Linked DNA regions of Rattus norvegicus. The protein of the gene in region 2 interacts with the protein of the main gene of each other region in a pairwise test. Links are inferred from orthologs where the notes say so. Each region holds a gene or a part of one and is shown on either strand. Other genes may lie near its edges.

Region 1 (5,959 bases), on a different chromosome or scaffold from region 2:
GGAGCAGGGAGGAGCAGGGAGGAGCAGGAGAGCACTGTCAGAGGGATGTCACAAAGTCCAGGGGTGATGAACCTATATTCTTTATGGCTTCGTGAATGTGGATGTGTATCCGAGGGAATTTTTCAAACATTTGAAACTTCATAGTGTATTTTATTGAGAGTTAAGGAAAGCTATTACAATAAATAACCACGCATATAAATAAAAAGCCAATGAAGAGAGCTAGCAGCAGCTAGGAGACCGGTGCTTTGAATGACGTTTGGTTTTGTTTGTTAGAGGAGGGTTGCTTCTATGAGCTGCCAATGGTTACAGGAAACTGCGGAAGGGAGGGGTTAATTGATGGAGTGGTATCGGAGAATGACAGCATGTTAAGAGCCCAAGGCCAGATTGGACAAGGAGAAGAACAGGGTATAAGTGACATTCTGGGCACGCCCTCCCTTGACTTCATTTTCCAAATGCTGAAGGGAAAAGTTCTTGTTCTCAAGCACCAACATTATAAAGTAAGTTAATCAGATTCCCAGAGTCCCTTGCTCAAAAGTGGCACCCCTACCCCTACCCCCTCCGTGTACTTTCTCCCAGATTCTGTGACGCCTGCTGGACCCAGGTTTTGACCGATGTTACTCCCTGATTCACTACAACAGGAAGATTACTTTATTGAACAGCAGTGTGTGCCTTCCTCCTTACCAGAGCGCTCTTGTTAGATGCCTTTCTCTTAGCAAAGGTTCTCAGGAGGGCACAAGAGAAACTCTGACAGCTCAGTGTTTGTGGCCTGGTGCAGGTTTCTGACATAGGGAGAGTGCAGTCTTCCAGCTGCGAGGGATGGGATATTGGTGTTCAGGATTATCATTTGATCACATAGTGTCTCATATTCATTCTCTCTCTCTCTCTCTCTCTCTCTCTCTCTCTCTCTCTCTCTCTCACTAAAAGTTAATTCATCCCTATTTAAACAATGCACAAAGTGACACTTGAATGAAATCATTTATTTTAGCTTTGAAATAACGCTTTAAAACAAACTTTAGCTTTAAAATAAACTCCACTTTAGCAACATACCATTTTACCTAGATTCAAACTTCCAGAGGCATTAACTCAAGCGTACCTTGTAAAAATCCCCATCTGGTAAACATAATTTCAATATCGTTCATATTTATTCAACAGGTTTAACGCGAGGAGCACAGTGGCGTTGGTCTTTTAATCTGCTCCATTTCAATCTAAAAGCAAGTGTTCATTCGGGCGTTAGCCGAGAACACTCGGGACTTCACAAAGCTTACAGATAGGGGCTCGAATCGCTGCCACTTTCCGCTGTAGATACAGAAGCCTCCTGGACCGCCAGCTCCCCGTGGCAGCCTTGGGGAGTTTCTGGCTGAGGCCGAGCCTGGCTAGCAGCGTTGGGGAGTGTGCTTGGGGAAGGGTCCACCTTTGGTGGGGGAGACCAGTAGGTCCAGTAGGTCCAGTAGGTCTAAGAAAGCCGCTGGGGACCTTGCGGTCCGGGACACCTGCTCCGGGAGCGGGAAAAACCTTGCTCGACTGCTTCCCTCCCAGCGCTCGCAGTTGTCCCAGAGATGCTCCCCAAGTACAGTGTCTGGTCCCTACAGACCCGCGCGCAGACAGCAGGCAATTCCCGCGACAGGCAATCTAAGCGGTCCCTGCTTTATCTTTCTCTCTGGCAGCGGGACTCGACGGGGAGAAGTAAAGAGGGATCTGGGGGATGCTCACTCTTGGATGTTCCCTTCTCCTCTCAGAGCGGGCTGCCTGGAATTGGGGTGTGGGTGGCTCCAGACGCCGCCACTCGAGCGGCTGTGGCTCCAGCCTCCTCCCCCGCTGCTGGGGGCGGGAAGTGGCTGTGGGAGTCACCCGGGCGTGACTGCCCCCGAGGCCCCTCCTGCCGCGACAAGGGCGCTCCATAAAAGCCCGTTGGCGACCCGCTCTACGCATCCCACCGGTGGAGCTCATTCCTCGCAGAGGCGCCCAGAGCAGAGCACCCGCTGCGCAGAGACCACAGCCCGCCCGCCATGGTGAGTGCCAGGACCAACTGGGACAGCGGTGCGGGCCCCTAGACTCCCTTGAACTTGCCCTGCAGCCGGCCCCCTGAGCTTGTTCTGCCAACTTGACACCCAGCTCTTTGGGGCAGCTAAATTTCACTTGCTGGACTCTGGTTCGACCCTCCACCTGTCCTTCTCCGGAGCCCTCCTATCTAGGCGCTCCACCTCCACGCCGGTTATCTTTTGAAGGAAGGGAGAAGAACGTGGGGACACCTATCCCTGGGCAGCGGTGGGGTTTTGTTTGTTTGTTTGTTTAGTTGGTTACAACCAGGAATCCAGATTGCATGCGTGGTCCTAGAGGGAGATTCCCCCAAAGTATTTTCCCTGGCATGGGGAGCCCCGTGCCCAGTCACCTCCAAGATCTGAACTGAGCCTCTGGGTATCTGACTGTCACAGGATCTGTAGCCACACAGATCATAAGCGACTCAGAAGAAAAGTTTCTCCTCCGAGGGTGATTTAGGAACAAGAGGAGAAAAGTGGTCTTTCTTTAAAATAGAGGGCAGAACTTACAATTCTATTCTAAAAGGGGGCCCTCTGCTTCTCACTAGGAGCGTTGGAGGGAAGTTTCATGAACAATGGGGCGGAGCAGAGGGGCCAGGTCCGGGCAAGTGGTTCTCTAGGGCTCTGGAAGTGGAGCCTGCCCAATCTGGGCTTTTTTTCCTAGGGTCTGGGATGGGAATAGATGAGGGTCTAGAGTGGTAGCTGGAATCGGGACAAAGGCGAGCATTCTCTGCATCTCCAAGTCTGAGCCTTCTGTATCCACAGATGCTAGGTAACAAACGAATGGGGCTGTGTGGACTGACCCTCGCTCTATCCCTGCTCGTGTGTTTGGGCATTCTGGCTGAGGGGTACCCCTCCAAGCCGGACAATCCGGGCGAGGACGCGCCAGCAGAGGACATGGCCAGATACTACTCCGCTCTGCGACACTACATCAATCTCATCACCAGACAGAGGTGGGTGTATCCGCGGCTGGTATCTCGAGCCCCAAAAAACTGCGGTTCTGGGAATCTTGGACGCCAGAGACCATTTCTTTCTCCTTGTTCTGTCCCAGAATAGGACAGGATCCGGCATATATTCAGCTCTAGATAAATATGTGAGATGGGTACACACGCCACAAACTGGATACATTGTCTTTGTCACTAGACTTTCTCTCCAACCCCCGAAACTGAGATTCAGTACCTCTGGGCTGTGTCTGTCTCCCACCCACCTTTCCTGCCTCTTTTGCTTACATCAGTTGGGGACTTACCCAGCACCCTCCTTGGGAAAAGGCAGCATCAGGAGCAGGGGTGCAACAGTGTAAAGGTGTAACCTAATCTAGAGTAAACAACCACCCCCAAAGAAAACCAACGAGACAGTCCAGCTGTCAGAGAGTGGATAGACCTTCCAGCCTGCCCAGGGCAAAGGGAGTGGCAGCATTTAGGGAAATAAATAAATAAATAAATAAATGAGAGAGAGAGAGAGAGAGAGAGAGAGAGAGAGAGAGAGAGAGAGAGAGAGAGAGAACGAACGAACCATGGGTTTCTTCTGAACTATCTCAGCCCTACACTTGAAAATTGCTAGATGGTCTTAAAAAGCTGACTTCTCTCATTTTATAGCAATTGCGTTCTGAAAAGAAAGCGTCCCATGAAGAAGAAACAAAACAAAGCAAAGCCTTTCCGCTAAGGACTCTGGTGGATACAGACAGCTCCACTGGCTGGGGCCTGAGAGACAGACGGGGATCTGTATTTTTAATGTCCAGAAAGTGGAAGAGAGGTGCCTTGCCTTTCCTCTCAGCATTAAAATCAAACAGAAAAAAATCAAATCCAAGCTATTTTACAAACAATATGGGACTTAGTTTGCAAAGTCAGTGCATTTTAGTTCTAAATCATTTAACAACACATTTCAATTACCGAGAACCTTGAAGGATCATATAGGCAAACTCTTTGGAAGCATTAATGTTCTTTACTTAGCAAGTTTCAATTATGCATAGTAAATTACCAGAGAGAGGTTAAACTGCTCACCACCCAGGGGATGGTTGGATGGGACATAAAAGGGAGGTTGTGCTTCTGAAACAGTTTCGTACTTTTAATTTCACCAGAAAAGTATGTGGCATCCTGAAAGCCCTCTGGGGAAAACAACCCCAATGTATACAGAACCACTTAAGTAATACAGGCTCATAATCTTTTGAAATCTGACCATTTTCACTAGCAGAAAGCAATTGCATTTTTGAGCCTAATAAATTTCCAGAAAATCGATGACGTCAGTTTTTTTGCTCCATACAACTCAAAAAAAATTTACACAAATGAAATGATAGCATCTCTCAGGATTTATGCATGTATTTTATGTATATGAGCATTCTGTCTTAATGCAAACCAGAAGAGGGAATCAGATCCCATTACAGATGATTGTGAGCCACCATGCGATTGTGGGGAATTGAACTCAGGACCTCTGGTGGTTAAGCCAGTGCTCTTAACCACTGAGCCATCTTTCCAGCCACAACACCATGGCTTTTATTGTTGTTTGATTGTCTTGTTTGTTTGTTTGTTTGTTTTTGATTGGCTCGTTGGTTGTTGTTTTGTTTTTTAGATACAACAGATAGGACTCATTCTTTTTGCAAAGACTGCTGCTATATATGGCTTTGCCACAGTGTATACAGTGATGCCATTTCACATTTCTCCAGTCATCTCATTCAGTCTTTTCCTCCAAACTTTGAAGTGAATTTAATCGTCTCCATTCTGCAGATCACAAAGCTAAGGACATTTCAAGAAAGCTTTCTTAGGGTTATGGAACTGGAACCCTCTACTGAGTTCCCTTGTACGGGGCCACATCATTAAAATCCAATGTAACATCCACCATCTTTGAGGGAAAAAAACAGGGGAAGGGGGTTGCATGTCCTAGGAAGAAAATCTGGTTCAATGGAAACGAACCTGTGTCATCTTGGTAAAAGCTCTCTTTAGAAAACATTAGAAGCCCCATTGTACACTTGCTGACTTCCCACCAAAGGTTCACTCGAAGAAATCCAGGCCTTTGAAAATTACCGTGTCATTTGTGACGGTTTAATCTGTAATTCTTCTTCCTTCCTCCTGCCAGTCCTATTTGTAGCCGTCCTCCTGTTGCTGTGTGTGCTGCTGATTTGTTGCTTCTGCAGTCCAGATCACTCATTCTAGTCAATGGCTCTTGTTTGTGTGGTTCCTTGGAACAGGGTTCACAGGTGGGGGTGATTTTTACTCCCTAGGACATAGGGCTCTGTTGGGGGGAGACTTGTTGGCACAACCAGAAGTGAGTGCTACTGGTATACGCTGTTAGACATCCCAGGATGCTCAGTCCAGCTTCCCACTCCACACCCCTTCCCCAGCAAAGAGTCATCTTCCCTCAAGTGTTCCTATTGAAGAGGTCGAGAAGCAGCAACCCTGGATTACTGTTTCTCCGTCCTGGCTTTGTGTCACAGTCACATGGAGAATTTTAAAGTGGAATGTCCCTGCCTCCACCCTTGCCAATTAAATGAGTCCCTCTAAGGTAGAACCTGGGCTCTCTAGTCTCCTTCAAGGCACCCACGGTGAGTGTAATGTGAAGCCAGGTCTGAGAATCTTTGCCTTGGAGACTGGTCTTTAGATGGTTGCCTGTTACAGAGAAGGATAATCTAGAGTTAGAGAAAGAGCCCTGAGCCCAACCACCATTTGGATAAGTCCATGAATGTGCAGAAACTGTCACAATACTGGGAGATTTTTGACCGAAAAATGGTGGTAACCAGTTGCCAGTCTTTTTAACTCTCTGAAGCATGATAAAGGTGAATGAATTCAGGTTGTTTGCCCGAAGTGTGAAGATTAACAAAATCAACTGAAGGACAGGTTAACCAAGAGCAGGCCACTAGCTCTAGTCTAATCTTGCAGAAAATCTTATATGAGAGTTGGGTGGTGAGGACGAGAATTGTTTACTTTTGCTCC
Region 2 (4,873 bases):
AGAGGGACGCTCTCTGAAGCTACAGCATCCCGCAGGACAGGTGTCTAGACTCCCACTCATGCTGTGGTGACAGTGGTACGCTAACACAGTAACCATTCATTTTCCCCAGGGTATCTCACACAGTGAGCTTCACACTTGGTTTCTCTCCTCTGGGACCCTGCAGTGACAGCTGCTCTGGGACTGTGGGACTTTGGGATATGTCTCACCCCCCCAACCAAACACCAGGCTGGGTAAGCAGACTGCCCTCTCTAGTATCAATTTGCTTGTTTTATTTATTATATAAAGCATCACATCCGGTGTGCCAGCGGAATAGATAATTGAGCTTGTTGGTCAAGCTGAACAGCCTGAATTAGATCATAGGGAACCCACATAGTGGAAAGAGAAGAACACCACCACAAAGTTGTCCTCAGATCTGCACGTGTGCACCATGGCGCGCGCGTGCGCGCACTAAGGAAAAAGGAAAGGTTGAGGCATTGCTTTTTCTCCCATTCCTACTTTTTTTTTTTTAATTTGGGCTTTTGAGGCAGGGTTTCTCTGTGTATCCCTGGTTATCCTGGAACTCAACTCTGTAGACTAAACTAGCCTCAAACTCAGGATCGCTTGCCTCTGCCTCTCGAGTGTGGGGGATAAAAGAGCGCCACTACTCCCGGTTCATTCCTACTTCTTACTGGACTTTCTGATACTGTCGCCTTGCCTCTTGTACAGGGAGCTGACACAAGTGCCCTGTACTTCCGCGCCTCCAGCCCGGCTCCCGTGCACGCCTTTGCGCTCACACCCGGACAAACCAGCGCACCCCGGGTCCTCAGCTCCTGGGGTCCGTCCTTTGCATTGCCAGCCCTGCTCTAACCTGCCCCCAGCTGCGGATATCCCGCGAGCTCTCCGCTCGAGGTATCAGTTGCGTGCACGAGCAACCCATACTCTACTTTCTTACTTACCGCGTCAAACAGCTTTTCCCGCCACAAGGTACGCCGCCGTGACCCATGAACCCTACGCGCGCAGGCCCAGAGCTGAGGCACGCCCGCTAGGCCCCGCCCCTGGCCGGCTAGGGTGGTCAAACCACGTCCCTTCCAGGGAGGATCCACAACCACGCCTCTCGCAAGTGGTCCCGCCCCGTGACGCTAACGGCACGAGGACACACCCCCAGCATCCAGGCTCAGGGAGCCGGCTTGACCTGCGGTACCCGAGCGCCCCCAGCAGGAGCGTGGGAAGGTTGCCACAGTGGGTGCTACCCCGCTGCTTTTGCTAAGTTTTTTTTTCTCCGTTCCTACACACCCGGGTTCCTGTATAATTTCTGTTGCCCCACAAATCACTTCCTGACTTGTTTATGTCACTCGTGGCCAGATGTGCAGTCCCCAACTTTGGAAACCTGGCCCTAGCTAAGTAAGTGTCCTTTTAGTGTCTCAAACTATGCTGTATAAAGATTCCTGTCTTCAGCGCCACCCCTCCACCCCCACCCTCGTGGTCGAACCTAGAACCCCTCCACGTTGGGCTCAGGAATGGCTTGTACTCGAACTTTATTTTATTTTTTTATTAAATAAAAGGGGCAGAAGAGGGGGCCTGTGGTCTCCCAACTGTGGGGAGCCACCTGCCCTAACCTCTCTCCACTCAAGGTGCATGGTGTGGTAGGCTGAGGTGTAAGCTCGGGAGGAAGGGCAGCTGGTAAAGATCAGAGGCTAGGGCCTGTGACCCTCACCACTCCTGGAAGACTCAGCGGGTGGGGTGGGACCTTCTAGTGCCAACTGCCACTCGCTCAGCCCGAGCCCAGGGGACTGGGCTGTGACAGTGTCCTCCCACCCCAGGAAAGGCAAAGGAAGCGTCCATCTGCAAGTAGACACCACCAAGGCTGGGGCACTTGTGGCGGCCCCTACTCATGCACATCCCAGATCTCGGACAGCAAAGGCGGCAGCTTCTTGTCCTGGAGACGCAATGCGAAAACCTGCTCCGAGTGCACGGAGCTGAGGGTGCGCAGGCTCACCAGCTTCATGAGCATTCGTGGGAAGCGCAGCTGGTCCTGCCGGGAAGAGGAGGCAAGTAGATCCTATAGGGGGCCCTGCCCTGCAGAGCCAGCTTTGTCTGACAAGCCAGTGCTGTGAGTGGTCAGGCCAACCTCAAACCCAGCCCAGGGTTTGGGACATGTGTGCTGACCTCACTAACAGGACCTGAGAAAAAGGCAGGCCCCAGGCTCAGTGTGCCCCAATGAGTGCCACCTGACCCTAATACCGAGCCCACCAGCTCCTGTACCTGCGGCCGCTTGATCCTCGTGTAGGAGAGGAGGGCCTCCACATAGGGCTGCTGCAGAGCCTCCACACGGCTGGGCTCCTGCACATTAGGCCGGTCCGCTGAGAAGATGTTGATGGCAATGAGCAAGGCATACTCTGCATCGTCTAGGCCCAGCCGACGCATAGCCCGAGAGAACTCAAAGATGGGATTGATGAACTCCACCTGCAAGCCTGCAAGAGCGGCCCCAGCACAGCTTCACACCTCACCCTGGTCCCAGGGCACTCACACGGGAAGGAGGAACAGCCAGTGACAGCTACTCCGCCTTCCTCCCCATAGGACCATGTGACTGTTACATAGTAGCCATGCCACCAAGACAGCGCCCATACCCTTCCTTCCACACACACTGGAACCTCATCCTCTCAGGTCCCCCCATCTGCCCTCAGGAGGGCGGAGGAAAGGCACTGTGAACCCTTAGGTAGTTCCCACAGCTCTAATATGCTATGATTCACTCATGGACTGTTAAGTGTACCTACTGTGTGCCAGGCCTTGGAGAAGAGTATTTACTGCCATCACACCCAACCCCTTCTCTATAAAGGACAATATATTCTAGGCTACTCTGGCCTGCAGTGAGACCCCAAGAAAGCAAAACAAAACCATGTAGGCAGGTTCCAGGCAAGATAGGAGTTGTCACCCAGTTCTAAGCAAGGGACAGTGAATGCTGGTCCCTGATGCTGGACTGTGCTGATGGGCACAGACTCAGCAAGGCACCCAGTGCCTGGGAGAGACGATCGACAAAGACAGAGGAGAATGGAGGCCAGGTCCTGTCCCAGCAGACGGAATACGGGAGCTGACAAGCTGGCATGGCACTTGCGTGCTGTGGGGGACAGATGTGATGGGAGGGTAGTAGCAGAGGGCCCGGGGCCAGGCAGTGAAGGAGCTTGGGTAGGAAGCCGAAGATCCTTTCCAGTCCCACCTTCCAAGGCCTGAATGCCTGGGGCTCCGTGGGGTTCCTTCAAGCCTGGCTGCAGGGCCTTTGCCCAGGCTGGATCACAGGGAAAACACACTTTTTTCCCTAAATCTGCCCTGCTAGTAAGCCACACTGAAAGAATCCTAGGACTCTTCTTGTGTAGTAGAAGAGTGGAAGTGGGTGCCTAAAAATACTGAGAGGCACCCAAGGTGTCCTGGGAAGCCGAAAGCTGAGGGAGAAAAGTTGTTCGCATTGGCTGGCCATGGGCAGGGGCCCTGTCCCACCATCAGACAGGTGGCCAGATGAGCTCCCCATGAGACAATCAGCAGCCTGTGCTTCTTCCTGATCTCCTGCCAGAAGGCCAGGGGACAGCAAAGCCTCCCCATGCATCTGGTCCTGCTAAACATGATCTTTCTCTTGCCAGTGCCTGATCTGGAGGTCCGACAGGGGGCAGAAACCCTAACACTGAGCCAGTGCCTTCCACAGACCTGCACGGTGGAAGTCGTCCTTGCTGTAGGTGAAGTCCTTCAGGAACGTGATGCACTCTGTCTCGTGGTTGTAGCGTCTGGCTGTCTCTAGCAACATGATCTGGAGGTGACAAGGTACAGGGCTCTTCAGCTGCCCCAGGTCAAATGTGCCAAGACCAACTGGCTGCCACCCAGACATTCTTAGCTTTCCTTTCTCCAACTTTACCACCCACTGCCCCCACCCAAGGACATTAACCACACATTATTGTGAGGTACAAGAGTTTTGATTCTTTTAGCACTTAGAACTTTATGCACAGTTGACTCTCAAACTTAAGTTATCCTTGAGTTGGCTCAAATATCCATTCCCTTCAAGTCTCTGGGGCGTATTTCCTCTTTGACAGTCCATCCCATAGTCTCCATTACTCCCACCTCAGCTCACTTCCCTTTCCCCCCGTGGCTGGCTCACTGGAGGCTCCAGATGGCCACACCCCACGAGGGTTAGGATGTCCCTGGACTACATGCAGCTCTGACCTCTGTCCTAGAGCCTAGTTCTCGTTATTAGTACCTCGATGGTGGATGCCTTCAGGAGGGCGATCTGGTCCTCCCGGCCCAGCTGCAGGAACCCTGGCACCTGCTTGGCGAAGTCCACGATCTCCTGGACTGAGATGATGGCTAGCTCAGTGAAGTGGGCAAAGCGTTGCTGACGAGCGTCTCGGGACTGAGGGTCTGCACCCAAGGGCCAGGGCTGGGACACAAAAGGCCAGGGTCACGTGGGAACTCGTGTGCCCCAAGAAACCCTCCCTAGCCTGGGTGGGCTCTGCCCACTGGGCCGGGCGGGGCGATACCGTGACTTTAGGCTGGTCGGAGAAAGATCGCTTGTTGCACTGCAGCTGCGCGGCAACTAACTGTTGGATCATCAGCTCCTGAGCCGCTGTCAGCTGGATGCCCTCTCCTTCCCCGGAGCCCTGGCTACTTGCTTCCGAAGTGCCAGGGGAGGCTGCAGGCCGGGCTGAGCTACCGGATGCTGGCTCAGTCGGGGGCGGTGGCTGCTGCTGTTGCTGCTTCTGAATCTTTTTCTTCCGAATCTGCTCCTCAGAAAGCACGCCTGCAGGAAAGACAGCCTCAGTGGTGGGACCCACCCTCACTTACTCCTCCCCGTGACGAGGACCCACGCTCTGTCTAGCCCCGCCCCTGCACTCACACTGCTCCCGCATGCCAG

What was found.
Region 1: the proteins of Nr1h2 (region 2) and Npy interact in a two-hybrid assay, tested with the Homo sapiens proteins (3 studies listed by BioGRID and IntAct). The link is inferred for Rattus norvegicus from reciprocal best matches to the Homo sapiens genes NR1H2 and NPY.

The regions. Positions count from the first base shown.
Region 1 is NC_086022.1:80,210,198-80,216,156, forward strand, and holds the start of Npy (pro-neuropeptide Y preproprotein), read left to right. Parts: upstream 1-1,913; 5' UTR 1,914-2,006; coding exon 2,007-2,009; intron 2,010-2,801; coding exon 2,802-2,989; intron 2,990-5,959. UniProt on the Homo sapiens protein: NPY is implicated in the control of feeding and in secretion of gonadotrophin-release hormone.
Region 2 is NC_086019.1:104,176,986-104,181,858, forward strand, and holds the end of Nr1h2 (oxysterols receptor LXR-beta), read right to left. Parts: coding exon 4,856-4,873; intron 4,760-4,855; coding exon 4,500-4,759; intron 4,400-4,499; coding exon 4,220-4,399; intron 3,776-4,219; coding exon 3,676-3,775; intron 2,451-3,675; coding exon 2,242-2,450; intron 2,012-2,241; coding exon 1,865-2,011; 3' UTR 1,498-1,864; downstream 1-1,497. UniProt on the Homo sapiens protein: Nuclear receptor that exhibits a ligand-dependent transcriptional activation activity. Binds preferentially to double-stranded oligonucleotide direct repeats having the consensus half-site sequence 5'-AGGTCA-3' and 4-nt spacing (DR-4).